2 linked regions of the Kluyveromyces lactis genome follow. The protein of the gene in region 1 purifies or fractionates together with the protein of each later gene. This does not show direct contact. Links are inferred from orthologs where the notes say so. Each region holds a gene or a part of one and is shown in the gene's direction. Other genes may lie near its edges.

Region 1 (2,897 bases):
TAGTAGGAACATCTATATCCAAATGCTTCAAGCGATCGCCAATAATGTATCCATCTACTTCTTTTGCCAGAATACAAGGCAAATCGCCAAAACTATCTCCAATATAAGTTATGCTCTGGTCCCCTTGCACTTTGTCTAAATCGCAAATCTCTTTCAACATCTCGTACTTGTCCCAACCGGTCAATATTTGCTTTGTAAATTGTCCGCTGTAAACTTCCCCATCACGTGATTTTAATTCGTTACAGTAGATATCCGATTTGGAAATACCCGTTAGGTCGTGTATGAGGTCCTTGGACCAGTTCAACGAAAGCACGTACGTCTTGTTATACTGCTGCATCAGCTCCTGTAATCCAGGTCTGATATCTACTTTTTCCTTAACGAGCTGCAGGAGATCTTTGATCACCACATCTTTAAAATGATCCTGCAATTCTAGTTCGTTGATTGAACTTAGCTCACACCTTCTGCTTGCACGTTCATAATCACAAACCACTTTCCAAGCATCAGGTGCCAAATTCTCTGGTTTTGGAATATAGCATTCCTCGTATATCTTGGTATAATGAGTCCATGCGACAGGTACTGATTTCAAATTGTAAACAGATTGCCCAATGATACTGGTGGTATCACTAGTGGTGATAGTGCCATCAAAATCAAGTACAAGAATCCGTTTCAACATAATTTTTTCTTAACACAACTCCGACCAGCCAATGTTTTATCTAGCGTGAAGGAACTGGTCTGCCATACTTGCCGAGTTTCCATTCAAGAGTTCAAGATTTAATGTGAAAGAACGATTTCATTTTGTTTGGGATTTAAACAAAGGCTATTCCTTAGTGGAGAAAAAAACTATTGAAAGGACAAGAATAGAGAGAGGTCTACATTGGGAAATTCTAAGAACACATTAAATATAATAAAAAGAATGTAATCAAGCTTCTATATTAAGTCCCCGTAGTAGTATCGTAGGGACCCAACTCAAACTGTTGATTTTGGTATTTCAGTCTATGCTCAGGCCCAATTATGATTCTCGAGGACAGAAATACTAACCGTTGAATAAAACAAGAGAAGAAAATCCTCTCAAGTCCAACACAGTAGTCTGAACCAAACGATGAGACCCAGCCGAGCAATAAGTTTATGATTGGTAGACTAAAAACGAAATCATATGTCAGAAAATATCATTCGAGATGAGAATATAAAGTGGTACATACGAGTTCAAAGTTCATTGAGTCCATTTGAATCTTTTTTCCCATAGTAAATAAAGTATTTCTTTTTGAAAAACTGAGCTGAAAATTTGGTGAAAAGAAGAGCTTTAGATGAGATGAGATGAGATGAGATAGTATACAGAGTATATCTGAACTGTAGAAACTATTACTGGCTCTGTTAATATCATAGAAATATAGCAACACAGCAATAAACAATATATTAAGATGTCGGAACACGTACCTGCTTGGAAAAGGTTCCAGATCAAGAAGTCAGAGGAAGGGAATCAGATCGATGATGAGCTAGACTCACTCATTGTGTCTACACATCTTTCCAACGGTTCACTTTCGAAGAAAGAGAAGAGAAGGATTATTAGAGGTGGCAATGCGGATAGTAAAAGCACTGGCAACAAAGTTGCAAAAAAGAGTAAAGACAGGAAAAGAGAGAAATTGGCCAAAGAGGATAGACTTAAGAAGAAGGAAACTGTGTTGAAGGATCAATTGAGGTATTTGATCGATTTCTATACATTGAAGTTGGAAGTGGAGCTGCCGGAAGCCGTGAAAGAGCTTCCTAGTGTAAAGGAAAACGTATCAATTATATCACCCTCTGAGGAATTAGCTGACAAAAACGTAGTAAGAGATGTATGGAAGTTCAGTAAACAGAAACAGAATTGGCTCATCAAACATTTCGTTATCACTGATGAGATCCCATCAGCATTCAACCCGCTATTAGTGAGATATTTCCAGGACTTACAGGGTGGTTCGAAGGCTCAGCTACAAGAAAGTTGTTTGGATGTTATCGAGAAGCAAAATAAATATCTAGAGCAGCAGAAAGAGGAAATGGCTAAGATTGTGCTGGGAGAAGCTACAGAAGCATCCAAAGATCAAGAGAAACAGAGCGCCGATGATGAGTCCAAGGATAAAGATGTCAAAACAGAAATGTCCAAAAAGTCTGACGAAAGTGAAGAGGATACAGCTAATAAAATAAACGAGATCCTACCACCTAGCCAAGAGCTACTGGAAAGAGTACGTTCCATGCTCGATACCTGGGGTGTTAAATATGAACTAAATAGCTGAATAGTGCGTGTAACTACTTTTTATCATTCAATAAAAGAAATGGTCACGTGATATTATCATCACTACCGCTCGGCGCCTTTTTCCCATTATCAGAAAAGGTTGAGTGATGGATGGATACATCTTAGAAGCATCATGACAATAGCAATGATCACGACGAGCGAATGCAGTACTTTCATTGACCTGGAACCAAGCCGGGCCATTGCAATTCCTTACAGTATTCATGCAATCAAATTACAGGGATAGTATACATTGTAATGAATCGAAATATCGAGACTGTAAATGAAGAAGGATCTTTTGTGGTTGATCTTCTGCGAAAGCCCTTTAAACTCCCGTCACGGTACGATGATCTCCCGTGGGAATCAATCGAGGAGTCAAAACTGACTGAAACAGATATATTGGATCGAAAACATGTTTTTCCGCTGCTCAAAGTAATGCCGATACGTCTCTTCACAACTGACATTGAACGAAGTGAAATGTTCGAATCTTTGAAACAATACTGTCAAACGGAGCGATACAACAAATTTGGTGCTGATTGGCCAAACGAACTTGCAGATTCGATGGGGCTCGATTCTTTGCTTGATTGGGATTTTGATATGGAACAAATTGATGATACTGCAAGTATTCCAGAAT
Region 2 (2,449 bases), on another chromosome or scaffold:
TACTCTCCACGTATCGAACAGAATCCAATTCTCCAAGTTTCCCGAACTTGTATTTCACTCTATTCTCAATCTGATGTGGTTTCAAAGTTTTGTTGTTGAGTGCCCCTGTAATACCACCCACGTATAAGACACGGTTAGGTTTCTTGAAGGAACCTACCCCACCCATATCATCTCTATAATCAGCAAATTTCTCTCTTCCAAAACAATCTAACGCAGAGGAATGCAAAGCTAACCTCGCAAAATCATCTGGCTCTGGAATATGATGCAAGTACCGACAATTTTTGCCTAAACAGCACATTCCCTTAGCGAAATACAAACAGAAATGAATCCGACCCTCTTTATCACCTTTAGTGATACCAGAATCGTTCTCGGGATCAAGCGAGTACGGTGTGACGAACCTAGTGGACCCACTTTGCCCCTGTGACCATTTGTTGTACCATACGTTGAAAGCCAAACCCGTCTGAGGCGGTACTGATGAAGGTAGGTCAGACTCCTGTAACTGAACCCTTGCTGGTCGGTTCTTCCAATCCCCAGTCATAATATATTGATGACGATGACCTTAATATTTGGCAATTTGCCAAACCAAGTATTCTTTAATGACCTCGAACAAGCAAACAGTTTGAACCGTCCAATTTATGCAACAACAGATACCGTATTATAACGGTGAAAACTGTATCTTGTCGAGCACACATCTTCCATGTTCATCTCATCGCAGGCCAAAGTGTTTTCAATAAACTTCAAGGTTGGAACTTTTCTTTAGTGAAAACGATCATGATCAAAAACAAAATGGAAACGAAAAAAAGATAAGTCTCCCGGGGGCGAGTCGAACGCCCGATCTCCAGATTACAAATTGCTTTGTGTTTTCAAATTACAGTCTGGCGCCTTAAACCAACTTGGCTACCGAGAGAAGTTACTTGTGTGTTGTAATTTTCAATGATGCTATAACCAAACTTCAAGGTTTACTAAGACTACATTGCCTGACATTAAGAGGTATATGGAGTATTTAAACCTTTTAAAGTATTTAATTATACAAGTGAAGTGATCACAGGACAATAATGCCCTGCACCTGGAACAGCTAATTTCTCCTACAGAGTTTAATCATTGTACATATTGTTCGCCATTTAAAACTCCAAGTTTTGTATGAAATTAAAGGGACTCATCCAGAATAATGTTAGGCGATGGACATTTCTACAACTGCTATGTACCACCTCCGAAACAAGACGCTGGCACGATATTCTGAAAAGTTGTTTATGTGTCGCATGGATTAATTTATGTCGTCCCTACTGTAATTGATACTTTATTTCTTTTTCATGTTACTCGGTACTGGAAAATTTTCATTTTTTGTTAACAAAAAGAAGAGCGATGAGTATGAGAATTGAACTGTTGAATGAATCGATGAACCTATCTTGCTGATGTGATATTGATTCCTTTCTCAATCAATTGCTCGCTCTATTTGAACCAGGGGAACAGTGAAGAACTATACATAATAACAAAGATGGCCAAGGATAAGAGTGTATCAACAGAAGACAACTACGAAGCTAGACTTCCTGCCGTTCTACCATTTGCAAAACCTCTAGCATCAAAGAAACTGAACAAAAAGGTGTTAAAGACCGTCAAGAAGGCTTCCAAGGCTAAGAATGTCAAAAGAGGTGTCAAAGAGGTTGTCAAGGCTTTGAGAAAGGGTGATAAAGGGTTAGTAGTCATTGCTGGTGATATTTTCCCACAAGATGTTATTTCTCACTTGCCAGTTTTGTGTGAAGACCAATCTGTTCCATATATCTTTGTGCCCTCGAAGCAAGATCTAGGTTCTGCTGGTGCCACCAAGAGACCTACTTCTGTTGTATTCATCGTTCCAGGCTCTAACAAGAAGAAAGATGCTAAGGCTAAGGAAGAAGAATACCGTGCTGCATTCGATGAAATTGTTAAGGAAGTAAGCTCTTTGTAGAGATATGAAAACTGTCGACAGAACAACCGGAAAAGAGAAAGTTATAATCGCAAAACACCGAGTGTTTCGTTAATTGCTTCCTGGTGTTGGCTTGTTTAATTAACCCCAACTACTTCCACTTCACAACTACTATTTTTGAACTCTTCTTGCAATGCATATACTGAGACTGCAAGACTAATTTCCAATTGGCATATACCAGTTGATTCGAGCATCTACTTACACCCACCTATCTGTAAAATAAATATTAATATCTATGTACCGAAGTCATCAAATCATATAGATTACTATCGTTAAAAGCACTCTGCAATTTGTGTATTCTGTCTCGATTTGTATACCAGCGTTTTTTCTAACAGTAACAGAAACCAAATAAAAGAAAACATCATATTAAGTAACATTCGTGAAGTACTAACGGAATATGTTGCCCAAGATTAAGATAACCTTCCATCCCATTAATTAAGATCCTATATAAGGGATACAAGCACTCTATAATGTATGGAAAGAAAA

What was found. The genes of interacting proteins can lie anywhere in the genome.
Region 2: the proteins of RBP95 (region 1) and NHP2 purify together in Saccharomyces cerevisiae (affinity purification with mass spectrometry; 3 studies listed by BioGRID, with this or other methods). This does not show direct contact. The link is inferred for Kluyveromyces lactis from reciprocal best matches to the Saccharomyces cerevisiae genes RBP95 and NHP2.

The regions. Positions count from the first base shown.
Region 1 is NC_006037.1:956,821-959,717, forward strand, and holds RBP95 (RNA-binding ribosome assembly factor RBP95), read left to right. Parts: upstream 1-1,418; coding exon 1,419-2,267; downstream 2,268-2,897. Other genes in the region: CTO1 (Cto1p), read right to left, coding at 1-673; KLLA0_A11088g (uncharacterized protein), read left to right, coding at 2,522-2,897.
Region 2 is NC_006039.1:1,336,073-1,338,521, reverse strand, and holds NHP2 (snoRNA-binding protein NHP2), read left to right. Parts: upstream 1-1,495; coding exon 1,496-1,945; downstream 1,946-2,449. Other genes in the region: active spliceosome conformation promoter CWC2, read right to left, coding at 1-538; SNU56 (Snu56p), read left to right, coding at 2,434-2,449. UniProt on the Saccharomyces cerevisiae protein: Non-catalytic component of the H/ACA small nucleolar ribonucleoprotein (H/ACA snoRNP), which catalyzes pseudouridylation of rRNA and is required for ribosome biogenesis.